4 linked regions of the Rattus norvegicus genome follow. The protein of the gene in region 4 purifies or fractionates together with the protein of the main gene of each other region. This does not show direct contact. Links are inferred from orthologs where the notes say so. Each region holds a gene or a part of one and is shown on either strand. Other genes may lie near its edges.

Region 1 (3,543 bases), on a different chromosome or scaffold from region 4:
TTAATTCCAGCACTCAGGAGGCAGGTGGATCTCTGTGAGTTCATGGCCAGCTTGGTCTACATAGTGAGTTCCAGGATAGTTAGGGCTATGTAGAGACCCTGTCTCAAAACCAAAACAAACAAGTCCTCGACGACCTGGAAGTACATACAGTACACGGCACAGCCACTATGTTTTTTTGGGGGGTGGGGGAGGGGTCGAGGGGTTGGTTTGGGTTTTTGAGACAGTTTTTCTGTCTGTCCTGGAACTCATTCTGTAGACAAGGCTGGCCTTGAATTTAAGAGATTTGTCTGGGGGCTGGGGATTTAGCTCAGTGGTAGAGCGCTTGCCTAGGAAGCGCAAGGCCCTGGGTTCAGTCCCCAGCTCCGAAAAAAAGAACCAAAAAAAAAAAAAAAAAAAAAGAGATCTGTCTGTCTCTGCTTCCCAAGAGCTGGGATTAAAGGTATGTGCCACCATGCCTGGCTTGCTTCTTTTTTTTTTCCGGAGCTGGGGACCCGAACTCAGGGCCTTGCGCTTGCTCTACCACTGAGCTAAATCCCCAACCCCCTGGCTTGCTATTTTAAAGACAAAGAAATCAAGACAATACAAGCTCTCTGGATCCAGGCAGTGGATTGGCTAAGAACCAATGAGAACAAAACCCTTCCCTATCTAACAGCCCACTATATGGGGACCTCAACAGAACTCCTAAAAGCTCCATAGCCTTACATCCCTAAACTTGCTAAAAGCACAAACACCCAGGAGTTGTGCTGCTCCTCTGACCTTCATCCCCAGGTCCTGTTGAGCCTCCTTCCAGAATATCTAGAACTGGTGTCTCCTTGGCTACCCCTCTAATTCAAACTTCCATCTATTTGGAGCCTAGCAGTGGCTTCCTAATCACTTGTTCCAAGAGTCCATCCTTGACCTACTAAAGTTAACTTTCCATAGTTCATAAAGAAATTTCAGAAGTTAAGTCAGACTACATCTTCTGCTTGTTAGTACCCTCCACTGACTTCCTGACAGCCTGGACATATTCTGGCTCCTGCTTCCACAAAGGCCTCGAGTGCCCCTTTCTCCCTCTCCGTTATACTAGTCTTGTCTCACTTCAGCACATGGACTTTTCCTACCTTTCCTACACACGCAGCTCTCCTCTAGTTGCCTCTTCTGGAGGCCAGCCCGTTTCTTCCCTCAGTGCTTGAGTTAAAGTCCTCTCAGAGAAGTATTGTTTGAGCGATAGACAAGACTCCCTTCTATAAACTATCACGAGATCTTGTTGTCCTTGGGGCACCGATCACAATTTGCTTCAAGTAATTAGTTGACTATGTGTGCGTGTTTTTCTTCTGTTGTATTAGGGGAAAATCATCTTAATTTGTTTTGGAGGGAGCAGTAAGCTGAACCAGGACTGGCCTGGAGCTTGGAACCTTACTGCTTTCACCTCTCAAGTGCTGGGATTACAGACACCATGCCCAGTGAGGACAAAGATCTTGTCTGCCTTGCTGACCTCTGCATCCTCAGCGTTAACATACTGCCATGGCACATGCTAAATGATAAGCTATAGAACTTAATGAATTAATGCATAATTGAATTGTGAAGGGAGGTTACTAAAGCATTTCTGTTTTCTTCTGTCATCCAGTCTGTTAGGTAGAATGAGGCCTGAATGGCACAGCTCTGTGTAAGGTGGCATTTCCAAAGTGTATTCATTTAACATTACTTATTGTCCTAACGTGACGCTCTAAGAGATAAGTGTTTCCTTGCTGAGGGTATTCCTACATTACCAGGACCCTTCCAGTAATCTTCCACCATAGCCCCAACACTGACCTACCTGAGCCTCCCCAAGCCCCAGCTCGATGGCCTCCAGGGAGCGGCGCAGGAGGAGGCAGCGCTCCTGTGAGCCCGGCTCGGCCTCGCCTGCCTCATGAGAAGCTAGGGGAGCTAGCAGGGCACGATGCTCCCCTCGAAGGGTCTCTAAACCCTGGATAACCGCCTTGGTGCCCAGTACTATCTCGTCCTGACTCAGCTTCTCCTCTCGAGGAAGCACCATCGTGGCCATGGTCTTGCGGTCTGTGGAGGCAAGGGGTGGGGCAGGCGGACGCCGGGCCTGGGGCCATACCGCCGTCCACCCCAAGTTAGGTAAACACCTGGAGGTCCCCAGACGCCCAGGTCCCAAAGGGTGTACAGATCCCTCAGCCCGCAGTCCTCGCGGTGCCCGCACGCGACCTACAGGGGGCGCGTCAGGCTCGTCTAGCCTAGGGAGACGCATTGCGGTGTGGCTGAAGTGAGGCTGGACCCTGATTCCGCCCCGACCACCGGCTCAGGCCAGTTTATGTAAAGCCCAGCCTTGGGGTTTTTTTCCGGAACTGTCCTAATCAAGACGCAGAGCACTAGGGCATTGTAAGGCGTTCCCAAGTCAGAAACTACAGGCCCTCCGGGCTACTGGGTCTCAGCCCGGGCTACAGCCCCTTCCCCAGGGCAACCGGAACCATGACCCCCTCCCCCAGGGCAGACGGAGCCCAGACACCGGGTCCCCGCCTCCACCCTCCAGGGAGGCTGCGGTCTTCAGTTTCGGGACAGGTTTCTGCAGGCCGCGCCCACAACGACCCCTCCCACAGGCTGGCCAAAGGCCTGCGGACCCTCCCTAGAAAAGGCCTAATTCCCAACCCCAGCCCAGGACCGCGCCCCCTCCCCGCAGACCGGTCGGGTCCTCCCACAGGCCGCGCCCACGACGACTCCTCCTCTAGGCCGACCTGCAACCGCTTCTCACCGTCCGGCCTGACCGGGTCTCCCGGCCCAACCGGCCCGCGCCGACCTGCACCTTCTGCTTTGGTCCGGCTCTGGCTCTTGCTCCTGTCCCGCTTCACCCGGATCCTCGACCGTGAGCTCGTCTCGCTGCCTCCATCCCGCCGGCCTTCCCAGCAGTCCCCGCGCCGCCTTAAAGGTGAAGCCGCTACCTCGGCGGCGTCGGAGGGGGCGAAACACGTTCCAGCCGGCCAGCTCGCTGCCTTAAAGGGGCCCCATGGGCCTGGCCGGCTTCGGGGTGGGGCCAACCCAGACAGGACGCAGAAGGGGCGTGGCTGGACTCGCCCCTCCGACCAGAGCTTCCTGGTCTGGGGCGTTCAGAGTCGGGACCCGCATGACTGAGGATCAAGGAAAAGGCCGACCTCCTCAGATTCCAGAGCGAATCAGTCCCTATTGATTGACGGCTATTTGTCCAATGTTTTTGTTGATGTCTTAGTGCATTAACAGTGCTCACACAAAGGGCTGTGAGGTGGGTGCTGTCATTACCCCCCTCTCACGCATCTGACTTTACCCTCGCCTCCGTGCTTTTTTATCTCTAGAGACGCACCTCTTTCAGGCTTCGGAGTTGATTGTATCTCTAGGGAATTCTCAGCATCTAGGTTTGCTTTGTGAGGGAACAGAAGGAGGCTTCTGGTTAAAAGGGAGAAAGAGGTGGAAAGGAGCATGTGGAGATCGGTGGGGTAGGGAGAAGACCCATGTCCCTGAAGGGAACATTGGGTGGATACTGCTGACCAGATAATGAGGTCAGACTAGTGTCTTTGGTTTGCAGTGGTG
Region 2 (4,068 bases), on a different chromosome or scaffold from region 4:
GGCTCACAGCCACCTGTAACTCCAGTTCCAGAGGCTCCAATGGCCTCTTCTGGCCTCTGCACATACTAGATTACAGGTAGCATATACTCATAGATGCAGACAAAACACCTGTATATATAAAATAAATGAATGGAATTAAAAAAGAGAAATACTCGGGCTGGAGCGATGGGTCAGAGGCTCAGAGCACTGACCGCTCTTCCAGAGGTCCTGAGTTTAATTCCCAGCACCCACATGGTGACTCACAACCATCTGTAATGGGATCCAATGCTGTCTTCTGGTGTGTCTGAAGAGAGTGACAGTATACTCATATACATAAAATAAATAACTAAATCCATAAATGAATGAACGGAATTAAATACATAAACTAACCCCAGCTGCCAGCACCCCTATTGTTTTCATCAGATGCCAAACTGCCAGTTCCTACCTAGACAATAGCAGCCTCTCCCAGGCCTCCCTGTCTCTGTTAGTCTCTAGTTCTACTCTCTCCCAGGCTGAGTCCCATCCCTCCTCAGACGTCCCAACAGCTCCCATCTCTCTCAACAGACAAGCAAAAAACCCCAGGACAGCCTGCCGGCTCCACACTATCTGTGGATGTCTCTGATGGGATCCTTCCTCCTCCGGAGTGATCTACTGTGTCCCCTCACTCACTGTGTACCCTGTAGAAAGCCACACCAGCGCTGTAAATCACTAAATTCACCCCAGGCTCCACGCAAAGCCTTTGCACCTGTCCTACCTGCTTGGAACCCTTTATCCCATGACTTCCTTTTTCACCCTCAAATCTTTGCTCAAAAGTGAGGTTATTTTATGACCAATCTGTGTGAAAATGCATCCTCTTCCTACTTCCCTCCTTTCTTAAAGATTTATTTATTTTATGTCTATGACTACATTCTCTTCAGACATACCAGAAGAGGGCATCGGGTCCCATTACAGATGGTTGTGAGCCACCATTGCTGGGAATTGAACTCAGGACCTCTGGAAGAGCAGCCAGCGCCATCTCTCCAGCTCCTTCCCTTCTGTCTTTGTCTTTGTTCTGTCCTCAGCAATGATTACTCTGGCACAGTAAATCATTTACTTATGGACCTGTGTTCTAGCTATCCCCCCAGCTATAATATCAGCTCAGAGAGGAATTACTCAGTGTTGTTCTGTAATGCACCACCAGCATTCACAAGAGTTGAGACACACAGTAGTCACTTAATGAATATTTAATGAATTAACAAATCCAAGTTTCTAGGACAAGGTGACCCCAAACTTGCATCAGATAACTGGAACACTTGGTATCACCCCTGATTCTTACCTGGGCCTCGCTGAGTCCCAGCTCAATGTTCTCCATAGACCGTCGCAGCTGCCGGGCTTTCTCATGCACCAGTCCTTCCTCATGGCCTCCCTGTTGCAGACACTCGATGGTGTGGGACAGGCTCTGTAGCACAGCCTGGTGCTCACTGTGTAGGGACTCCAGCCCTTGGCTCACCAACCTGGTACTGCCCAAGATCTCCTCTTGACTGAGCCGGTGCCCTGCAGGCTCATCCCGCTGCCCCAATACCAGGCCTGACATCCTCAGCTAAAGAGAAACCACAGAGTTCAGGTGGAAACGACGAAAGACACAATGTTAGAGACTGGTGGGCATCCACACGAAGGGAAGAGGATGGGAGACCCCCATGACTAAGCTGACGAAAGGGCCTAGGTAAAGAGGAGGAAATTCCACCGCACTAACCGTAAAAGTAAGGTGAGGGAGAGGAATGAACTTCAATAAAGATCTTTAGAACAATCGGGCGGGCTTAGAGCTAGAGGAATTTAGGACTTGGCAATTGGAGAGAGAGCATGGGTTAGGAAAAGGAAGCAGGGGATGTGAAGCACTGTAAGGATCACAGAGGGCGGGTGGAAGAGCTGTGCAGAAAGCACTGTCCCAATATAAAGGGGAAGGACCCAAGCTTAGTGAAGGAGGGGGAGAGGAAACAGCAGTGGTTATTACAGGGCTTGGAAGGTTGAAGGTCTTCAGACTGCATCAGCAAGGGACTAAGCCCAGCACCTCCCGACCTGCTAAACTCCTTTCCAACTAACTTTCCCAGCCCACCCCACCCCCAGAATTCAGACTGTCTTCCTACTTCCTCCAAACTCATTTCCGAAGTCTCCTTACCTGTGTACAGAGCAGAAGCCCTTGGTTTCAGGTGGCTCCCAGGCCAGAGCCCGGAAGAAACTCTGACCTGCAACTAAGGATTTAGAAGGATTTGTACTGCCCAAAGTCCAGAAGTCCGGCAGTCCCACCCCTTCTCTGTCACCACCTCACAGCCTCCCAGAGGACCTGGCACAGAGCCCCACCCAGGACAAACACCCTCCCTCCTTCAGCCTACAGGTTCTTCAGAGACTCGTACTAATGTCCCTTCTTCCTCAATCTCCTCGTTCTAGCTCTGAGGAGTTACTTTCTCCCAATAAGGGAAAGAAAGACCGATTTAATCTGAGACCTGAAGCAATGGGTGTGGTGTGCCTGTTAAAGGGAGACCTGGTTACAGATTCCCGACTGGATTACCGCAATAGCCGCCTTTCATGGCTTTGTCTGACATAATCACCTAACAGGCACCTTAAGTTGCCTCTCAAGTGCCGGATGGTCCAGGGAAGCGTAGCAGATCTGCCGTGCACAGTGGGGTCATAGAGAAAGGCGCTGAGCGCAGGCTATCCAAGCCTGGGGGCCTACAATCAGGAGTGTCTAAGGGTCCTAACTTGCCCTGAGAGCCGAGGGTAAGGACAGAAGTAAGATCTTCGAGGGCTGAGGGGAGAGGAAGGTGGAAGTGAGGGCAGAGTCGCTGACCAAGACCCGACAGCGGACAAGCTCGAGGTCACGGAGTCAGGGGTTCCCACAGGGGGCGGGGCAGGTTGTCCTACTGTCTGTCTGGACGCCGAGGGGCGGGGAAGAATCGCGGGGGGCGGAGTTTTTGAGTCAGTCTGAAGTTTTGTGTGGTTAGTAGGAAGTGACTTACTCATTTGTCCCAGAATGTGGGAATAAGAGTTAGTGTAATCTTAATTCTCAGCCCCAGGGGTACTCCCAAAGACTCACCTGCAGTCTGCTGGTCCCGCTGCCGCCTTCGTGGGTACTGCTCCTTTAAATATATCATGGCTGCCGCTCGAGGCAATTGTTTTGACGGCTCTGAGGGGCGGGGACTGTCTTCCATCATGTGACCTCAGTGCCTTCCAATGATTGGCTAAGAACTTGTTCTAGGGAGGAAAGAAAGCTTGTATCTTACGGCGCTGCACTTCTGTGCCCGCCTCTCTTACGTCATTGAAAAGCGACGGTACCCCGAATGAAACGTCATTTAAGAGCACCAGGCTCTGGGTAAAGGTAAAAGCGAGTTCTGTACGGAGGAATCTGACCATTCCATGGCCCTGTGCGCGCTGGCTAGTGCTCTGCGCTCCTTGAGCCTGGCATCCCCGGCCATTACCGCCCGGGTTCCGACTCTGCTTCCTGTTGGCCAGGTAATCCGCTTACCTGGGAAATAAAATCCGCCTGGGGTGTCAGTGATCCCTCAAGGCTAGTCGGGATCACGTGACCTTGGGTAAACTTGCCTTCATCCTTTGCTGTTTGTAAATGCTGCTCTCTCCGAAAGCTCCATTCGTCAGCGAGATACTGGCTTCCAAGTACTTTTGCAAATCTTTACTAAACAGGTTGCAATGGTAACATTAATGTGCCAACCGCAAACCAAGCAGAATAGAGGACTGAATTAAAGGAACTCCTGAAAGTTGTGCACATTTTGCAGATGAGAACACTGGTCAACAGTCTAAGTCTTACACCTTCTGGGACTTGACAGACTGACTTCAGAGCTTGCTTTTGTTTTTGCTCTCGTACTTCAAATTAAACCTAGAGCCTTGCTCATGCTGTGCACTTTTACCTCTGACCTACACACCTCACACCAGAACCAGTGCTCTTAACCATTTTAATGTGTGGATAGGTTGTGGCTGATATTAGGGAATGTCAACCAGTGGGTCTGAAGTGGGCAATGGTGAATCACAGAAAAAAAGAAATTATTGGGGTCTGGAGAGATGGCTCAGTGGTTAAGAGCATTGACTGTTCTTCCAGAG
Region 3 (4,018 bases), on a different chromosome or scaffold from region 4:
GCACATGTTCCATCCATGCATGTGGAGGCCAGGCTCTCCTTGGACGACTCCTGAACAATTCCCAGGAGTCAGTTTTCAGGCTCCATTTGGTTCTTGGAGATGAAACTCAGGTTCTCAAGCATGGCAGATAGCGTTTTTACTACCGTCTTGTCAGCCGGAAAGAAACTGTTGTGTAAGGTTCTGAGGTTGCAATTATTGAAACAGTATTTTTGGAGGTTTTTATCTTTATGTGCATGCTGTGTCTGTGGAGGCCCTGGAAGAGGGTGCTGAATCCCCCGGAACTAGAGTTACAGATGATTTTGAGCAACATGTGTGGGTTCTGGGAATTGAACCTGGGTCCTCTGCAAAAGCAGCCAGCGTTCTTACCTTAGGAGCCATCCTTCCAGCCCCTTCAAGAAAGTTCTTTTTTTCTTTTTTCTTTTTTTCGGAGCTGGGGACCGAACCCAAGGCCTTGCGCTTGCTAGGCAAGCGCTCTACCACTGAGCTAAATCCCCAACCCAAGAAAGTTTTAATTACGTTTTTATGTGTTTACTTCATATGTGTGAACGTATGACTGTACACATGTAGAAGTCAGAAGACAACATGTGAGAGCCCGTCTCTGTCCACCCTGAGGGTCTCAGGGATGGAACTCAGCCCCTCAGGATTGGCGGTAAGCACCTTTACTGTCTGAGCCTTCTCGCAGGACCCCAGACAGAGTTTACAAAAGTTCTTAAACTGCAGGCTTCTCCTACTGCAGCGGCGTAGGGCGTGCCCTGAGCACCTACAGGGGCGTGGCCTCCACCCGCCCCCGCCCCACCCCGATCCTAGACTGAGGATTTCTCAATGTGTGTCGACCGAGGGCGTGGCCTGCGCACCTGCGGGGGCGTGGCCTTGCCCTGCCCCATCCCCCTCAGGAGCCTCCCGGACCAGCGGCTTCGCAGCGGGAGCAGTCGGGTCTCCGCGCAGCGAGGCGGTTCAGACCGGCGGCCGTCAGGTGGGCACGGGAGACGGCGGCGGCTGCTTCGGGATTCCCGAGGGGGCCGCAGGGATGGAGAGAAGGGGCTATGGGTCTGGCGGCTCGGATGAGCCTCGGGGTCCCCGCGGGGCCCTGCCCCGCCCCTAGCCGGGTAGAAAAACAGCTGCGGGCGGGGCGGGGCCTTGTGACGCGAAGTACGGTGCAGGGTCTCCGCGGCCAGGGGAGAGGCTGGCGCGCTGTTGGAGAGTCCCCAGCTGCAGCCTGAGAGTGCAAGACGTGCATGGTGAGGGAGCCTGCGCGGGGGTGTGCAAAGAGAGGGAGTAAGGCAAGGGACACTGTGGAAACTGAGGCGGGGAGAACGGAGTTGAAGGCGAGCCTAGGCTTCGTACTCAAGGGAGACAGGAGGGTGGATTGTGGGTACAAGTGTCAAAGGGAGGAAGAAAAAGAAAAGGGGGAGAGAACCAACAAGGAGAGTAAAAGCACTTGTTGCCAAACTGTCAATTTCTCGAGTTTGGTCTGCAGGATCCACAAGGTGGGAGAAAAGAATGGACTCCCTTAAGTTGCAAGTTGTCCTCTGACCTTCCATGTGCCTCTGCCATACATAAAGGGAAAAAAATTAAATAAGGACCAGGCATCATGATGCACACCTTTAATCACAGCACTTGGGGGTGGGGGGTGGGGGCACAGAGGCAGATGGATTTCTGAATTTGAGGCCAGGTTGAGGGAATTCCAGGACAGCCAGGGCTACATAGAGAAGCTCTGTTTATATATTAAAGAAACTCTGTATCAATATATACATATATATACATATGTATATGTAAATTATATATCTTTTTTAAAGTAAGAAAGATTGTGGGTAAGAGTGTAAGAGTGTAAAAGGGAGATAGGTTACCATGTCACTCTGATGGGGACAGACCGAGTGAATGTAGGTGATCTTGTCTAATTGTCTCTGTGTGTGTGTGTGTGTGTGTGTGTGTGTGTGTGTTACATGTGGACTGTGCACAGTACTGAGCATGTGCGACTGAGATGCTGAGTCTGTGATCAGCTCTGTACTTGAGGCTGATTCACACGTATGACCATGGGTGACAGGGAATGGGCTGCCTAATGGGGTTGGATCTAGGTGTTATGTGACAGTTGGGGTGGAGTGTGTGGAATTGTGTCAGCGATATGTGACTGTCACTGACTAACTGTTGACTTTCTGGTTGTGTATCCCTGGGGTGGGGATCTGTGTGTGGGGGGGTATGAGTGTGACTGTGTCTGCAAGCTGGGGTTTGCATAGGTGTGTGTGTGTGCGTGCACGCTGTGTGCCTGCTGTGGACTGGTGAAACTCTCATGGGGCTCCTGTGAATGCTGGGGACAGCTCGAGTGGCAGATGGCTGCAGCTGAGCTGTGGCTGTCCCATGATTGTTGATCTGGGTATCAAGCTGTGGGAAGCTGCATATGGAGCAAAGGCTTCCTTGGGTCTGAGATTGTGCCATGGGGTGGTGACCCTGGCCACACTGGGGCAGAATGACTGGAGTCAGGATGGCTCACCCTGAGCTTGTGTGGTAAAGAGACTGACTACATGGTTTGTGAGGTTGAGCCCACTCGGGTTCCACACGCTCTCACCATGACCTTATTTATGTGTCTCTATATATGGTTTTGGTTTTGTTTGTAGAGATGAAGTGACCCTGAACACCGGATCCTCCCATTTCTTTTCTTTTCTTTTTTTTTTTTTTCCGGAGCTGAGGACCGAACCCAGGGCCTTGTGCTTGCTAGGCAAGCGCTCTACCACTGAGCTAAATCCCCAACCCCGATCCTCCCATTTCTGACTCTGAGTATTGGGATGACAGGTGGGAGAGGCCACATCTGGGGAGAAGTTGAAATGATTTTTTGGTTTTGTTTTGGTTTTGGTTTTTAGACAGAACTCACTCTGTAGACCAGGCTGGCTTTGGACTCAACGAAATCTTCCTGCCTCTGCCTCCTGAGTTGCTGGGCTTAAAGGTGTGACCACCATTCCTCTCCAGAGTCATAACCTGGTGGTACCCAGTTAGACCATTGGAATTAAGGTTTTGACTTTTTTTTTTTTTTTCCAGAGCTGGGGACTGAACCCAGGGCCTTGCGCTTGCTAGGCAAGTGCTCTACCACTGAGCTAAATCCCCAACCCCAAGGTTTTGACTTTTTAAAGCCTTTGGAAAAGCTGCTCACAAAGTAGAAAGTGTATTTCAGAGTTTGAAGTTGGGTCTCTTTTTGGGCTGGAATGCTGCAGGAGCACACACACACACACACACACACACACACACACGCACATGCATACACACGCACATGCATACACACACACACCTACTTGTTACTCTGAGATTTAGAAAACGCTGCTTCAGGCAGTCCCAAAATCATCAGAGGAAGTGGGGTGGGCACTGGACTCTGTGTGGAGCAGAGGATTATCTCTTTAAAAACTACATGTATTCAGCCCAACAGAGGTGGCTCATGCCTTTAATCCCAGCTCTTGGGAGGTAGAGGCAGGTGAATCTCTGAGTTCAAGGCCAGCCGGGTCTATAGAGTGAGTTCCAGGACAGCTAGGGCTACGCAGAGAAACGCTGTGTTGGAAACCAAACAAACAATAAACAAGCCCTCGACTAGTGCTGTCTGCCTGTACCAGTGCTTGAGGCGGCACAGGAAGGTTTAGCCAAGGATGGCTTGGAACCCCGATTTGAGAGCTCAGATCCCAGATTTGTACCATATGCCCATCCATCAACTTTTTATTTTTCCCTTATGGTATTAGGGATGGAATCCAGGGCCTTGGCAATGTTTGTCTAGCTGTGTTCCCAGTGTCTCCTTTTTCTTTTAAGATTTTTTTCTTTTTGAGGCAGAGTTTTTCTGTGTAGCTCTGGCTATCCTGGAACTCGAATTGTAGTCCAGGCTGGCCTGAACTCAGAGAGGCCTCTGCCTCCCACGTGTTGGGATTAAAAACGTGCCACTACCCCTTGCTACGATTTATTTTTATTTTATGTACATGAGCGTTTGCTTACAAGCATGTGTGTGCAGGAGGTGTGTGCAATACCCACATGGCCAGAAGAGGGCGTC
Region 4 (4,192 bases):
AAAATATTAAAAGCTAAACTTAGAAGAAAAGCAGAATCCCCAATTATTTTCTATCCAATTATTTTTTATCTGAACAGTGACTACCACTCAGTTGACATTATAAACTAACACATTTAGATCTTAAATTTTGACTTAACTTAAAGATAATGAACAAAATACCTAAATATCATACTTAAAACACTCTAGTTTTACATGCTATGCTGTTGCAATTCTCTCCTAAACTAGTTCTAATTTATCATGTTTAGGATCCAATAAATTAAGTTAAATAAATCATGTTTTTACAATTTTTTTCAATCTGGCTCTTTGGCATAGAGACTTTCATTTCATTCCTTAAACCCCTTATAACTTCTTAAATAGTCTTTTAAAAATTGAACACAAAGACTTCATCATATAAATATGGGTAATACATGTAAGAAATCAATTTCTAAAACAATAATTGAAATATATTAAGTATCTTTTTAGTGTCCTCAATGTTTCCTTTAGTTTTAAAATGTACTTTCCCCTATACTTTTTACTCATCCTCTACCTAAGTTTCTATTCATTGGTTAAACCCACTTGTATTACAGAAACTTTCAAACAGAAATCATGATAACTTTTCCCAAAGGAAAGGACCTAAAATAAATGTGTTTTCTGTAGTGGGGGCTATCTTTTGTTGCATGTATTATGGCCACAATCCTCTTGTCTCAGGCTCACACGTGCTATGATTACATAAACTTAATACAAAATCTTAAATTTTGGCATTCCAAGCAAAACAAATCTTAGTGATATTTACAAAATTTTTAAAGCATGCACAAAAACTCAGAGAATTAAGACCATCTTAATAATAGTGGCAAATGAAATATATCTTTATTGTATAAATCATTGCTAAAACTGAATAATCAGAGATGCTAAGGAATAAGAAGCCTCAAGTTGGGAACTAATCTGCTAAGGACTGCAGGCACAACATACACCTAACCACCTTCCACTCTGGTCTCTGTGCACTAAAGAACAGAATTCCTATGCTCAATTAACTTCCCTTCTTTACTATGATGTCTTTTATAGCAAGAGCATCTTGAGAACTCATTAACAAAGAACTGGCCTGACAGTCTTCACACAGCAGTAGTTGGGGTTAGTGACCTGATATATATACTTTTTTTTCCTGCCATAACCCTACCAGGAGGATGTAGTACATTTCCCAAACTGAACTTTGAAAACCTTCACATTAACACACCCACTAGAGAACTTTAGTATTACCATCAGGCCAATGCTTTCAATCATCAATGGCCAGTCTTCCGTGACCTCTCTGCCCTATTTCTAAATTAAGTAGCTCAAACAATATACTAAATATAGATTTCTACTCAAGAACAAACAATTACGAGTAAAACTGACATTAACAATTGAATCCTAATAGCAATGCCCATGGCATCATCACTAATGATGCGCTTACTTTTTAGTTTAGCTTGCTGTTCTGTATATAGAGGCAATCTTATCAGTCACTTTTAATCTTGAACTCAGAATGCTGTTTTCGGAGAATCTGCAATGCTAGCTATATAAAAAAAAAATCTTCCCTTTCAGGTTTTTCTAATAATAATCAATCAGCTCAGTTACATTTTACACTACAATGGAGTAGTTGCTGCCTCTCAGATTACCATGATCAATTTCCTTTAAGATAGACTATATCTGTATTAACATGAATCTAATAACGGTGATTAGATTCCCATAAGGTCTTTACAACACTATGTCTCCGTTATACCTATCTTTCCTACAATGTTAAAACACGCTAAAGAATGAAATTCTAGATCTTTCTGACACTTATTTGGCCCAATCTAAATCTACTTAGACCTCCTATAACATTAGAGACAATTAACTCTAATTTCAATGAAAAGCCACTAGCTCTTTTTACAGACTTCAATTTCCCAATTACTGTTAACATGAAAAACAGAGAGGGTGAACATGTGAGAAACAAGCATATCTACACACACACGAGCGCGCGAGTGAACGTGCACTAAACTAGCTCCTGGGACGTAGCCTCCAGAGCCCCAGGTGGGGGAGTGTCCAGACTGAGAAACAAGACACCTCCCAGCTGCCAGAGCTTAGCACTGGGGTGGGGGGTGATCCTCGAACCTTCACAGAGTTGCCTCAACATAGCTCGTTCCTCCCTGGCCGTGTGAACCCGCAAACCCGGCTCGGGAGAATGAGCACTCCCTGCTCCCTCTGGTCCTTGCGACCGGCCACGTCCCAGAACTCACCGCCCTGCCCGACCCCGAGTGACGTGGGGACAGGGCCACTCACCGCAATCATCACCGTGTCTTCTCCCTGGAACTTGGCGACATACTTGTCGCCGCGGTTCACTTCAGACTCGTTGAGAGGTCTGAAGCGACACATCACTTTGATGTTGCACTCCGCCGGGTCCGCCATCTTTCTGGCAGCCGGGACTGCAGGCCGGGAGCCACTCCCCGCCGCTCAGTGGGATAAGCGACGGGAGCCAAGAAGCAGGGGTCGCGAGGACCCGAAGGCCCGGGCTCCGCAGCGCTGCGAGCCCCAGGCAGCTAGACCAAAGCGCTATCACCGGCAGCCCGCGCCCTTAGTTCACTTCCGCTCCATCATGGCGGTCATGGCGGCAGCGCCCACAGCGCCTCAGTGCTCCTCAGCGTCTCCCTCACCGATCTCTGCAGGCTGCCGGGACTGGCGAGCGGCTCCTTCTTTTCTTTCCGGGAGGGACAGCCGGGGCCTATGGCTCGGCCCACTATCCTGTCCCGGCAGCTCGCCGGCCTCCGGGCCAGCTGACACTCACACCCTCAAAGGCCTTAGTGCCCAGGCTGGCGGCAAGCTGGGCGGGCGGGCGGAACACTGCGCAGGCGCGGGGCGACGCCCAGCAGCCAATCCAAGCCTGCGACCGGCCGCCGGCTATGGCCGGCTCCACCTCAGCTGCTGGTTTAGGACTTCAGATCGAGTTTTCCTGCAAGTTGAATAGCGCCAAGGCCGCTACAGAATTTCTCAGAGCACAGGAAGGTTTACTTATCTCTTTTTCTTTGGAGAAGTTAGTTTTAACCAGTTAATGGTGATGTTCAATTTAGTTTGAGACCAGATCCCTAAAAAGAAGAGTGCTTTCATTTGGCCTTAGAGAAAAAATGATTACTGATGCACCCTTGGGTTTTATTTTGTTTCTGTTTTAGATCGCCTTGCCAAAACCGGGGAGATTTGAATTTAGGGTGGGGCATGGCCGGGGTGCAGCAGTAACCCACCCCGCGAGCATTGTTCAGACATAACAAAGAAGGGGGAAGTTTCTTTCAGGTAATGTGAGAAGTTTTCCAAGAAATATGGAACTGCTGGGTGGGTTGGAAGAAGAACCTCCCCGTCACTTGTCACCTTTAGCTGCCCCGAGCTTGACATCACTTGACAGGTGAGCCACTGTTTCCCAAAGGTATTTGGTGAATTTGAGGTCCCACTTCCCTGACCAATGGGAAACCCAACTTAGCTGCAACACCAGAGGAATGCTGTTGTAGCACTTGTTCCTTAAGAGTGTCTTTAAAGGCCTAGATCGGCCGTTCTCAACCTGTGGGTTGCAACCACTTTTGGAATAACATAGCAGGTTTTTATATTGCTATCTATAACAGTAGCAAAATTATAGTTATGAAATAGTGATGAAATAATTTTATGCTTGGGGTCACCACAACATGAACTGTATTAATGGGTCTCAGCATTAGGAAGGTTGAGAAACACTGACCTAGATATTAATACGTTGGGTTACATATCTAAGAAAACCACTCCCCGGGCTGGAGTCATAAGTCTGCTAGTGTGCTTGCTTAGAAAGCAGGAGGCCCTGGCTTCAACCACCACTTGCACTTAAAAAACAAATGACTTAGCATTCTCTTTTCCGAAGATAAATACCACAAAAACTCTATGTGGAAATGGTTCTGAGGTGCTGCAAGGGAAAACTTCAACAACATTTAGAAACCTTTTTTCTGGTTTTCAGACTTGGCTGGGTAAATGACCTGCTGAGCTCACTGGAACATCCTAGCACCTCCAGAAACAAATCCAGAGTTTAATAGATCCAGCTTGATTGGCCTTCTGCAATGGAGGAAAAGAGCTCAGTTGCAGTGGAGAATCTTAGAAATCAAGCAAAGTAGGGCTTTATCACAGGCCTTGGAAGTGTGGAATGTGGATACAACTTAAATGACCCCGTGTTCTGAGAGGCTCCAGGCAAGGCAGA

The links. Proteins that work in one complex are often made in the same cells at the same time.
Region 1: the proteins of Kif5b (region 4) and Klc2 fractionate together in Homo sapiens (co-fractionation; 7 studies listed by BioGRID and IntAct, with this or other methods). This does not show direct contact. The link is inferred for Rattus norvegicus from reciprocal best matches to the Homo sapiens genes KIF5B and KLC2.
Region 2: the proteins of Kif5b (region 4) and Klc4 purify together in Homo sapiens (affinity purification with mass spectrometry; 4 studies listed by BioGRID and IntAct, with this or other methods). This does not show direct contact. The link is inferred for Rattus norvegicus from reciprocal best matches to the Homo sapiens genes KIF5B and KLC4.
Region 3: the proteins of Kif5b (region 4) and Klc3 purify together in Homo sapiens (affinity purification with mass spectrometry; 3 studies listed by BioGRID and IntAct, with this or other methods). This does not show direct contact. The link is inferred for Rattus norvegicus from reciprocal best matches to the Homo sapiens genes KIF5B and KLC3.

Annotation. Positions count from the first base shown.
Region 1 is NC_086019.1:211,851,152-211,854,694, forward strand, and holds the start of Klc2 (kinesin light chain 2), read right to left. Parts: upstream 2,065-3,543; intron 2,035-2,064; 5' UTR 2,024-2,034; coding exon 1,796-2,023; intron 1-1,795. Other genes in the region: WW domain-binding protein 11-like, read left to right, coding at 2,455-3,111. UniProt on the Homo sapiens protein: Kinesin is a microtubule-associated force-producing protein that plays a role in organelle transport. The light chain functions in coupling of cargo to the heavy chain or in the modulation of its ATPase activity.
Region 2 is NC_086027.1:21,833,876-21,837,943, reverse strand, and holds the start of Klc4 (kinesin light chain 4), read right to left. Parts: upstream 2,810-4,068; 5' UTR 2,576-2,809; exon of another isoform or gene 2,565-2,575; intron 2,208-2,564; 5' UTR 2,135-2,207; intron 1,559-2,134; 5' UTR 1,553-1,558; coding exon 1,295-1,552; intron 1-1,294. Other genes in the region: Mrpl2 (large ribosomal subunit protein uL2m precursor), read left to right, coding at 3,370-3,465.
Region 3 is NC_086019.1:88,180,614-88,184,631, reverse strand, and holds the start of Klc3 (kinesin light chain 3), read left to right. Parts: upstream 1-1,209; 5' UTR 1,210-1,238; intron 1,239-4,018. UniProt on the Homo sapiens protein: Kinesin is a microtubule-associated force-producing protein that may play a role in organelle transport. Plays a role during spermiogenesis in the development of the sperm tail midpiece and in the normal function of spermatozoa.
Region 4 is NC_086035.1:56,183,994-56,188,185, reverse strand, and holds the start of Kif5b (kinesin-1 heavy chain), read right to left. Parts: upstream 2,801-4,192; 5' UTR 2,398-2,800; coding exon 2,272-2,397; intron 1-2,271. UniProt on the Homo sapiens protein: Microtubule-dependent motor required for normal distribution of mitochondria and lysosomes. Can induce formation of neurite-like membrane protrusions in non-neuronal cells in a ZFYVE27-dependent manner.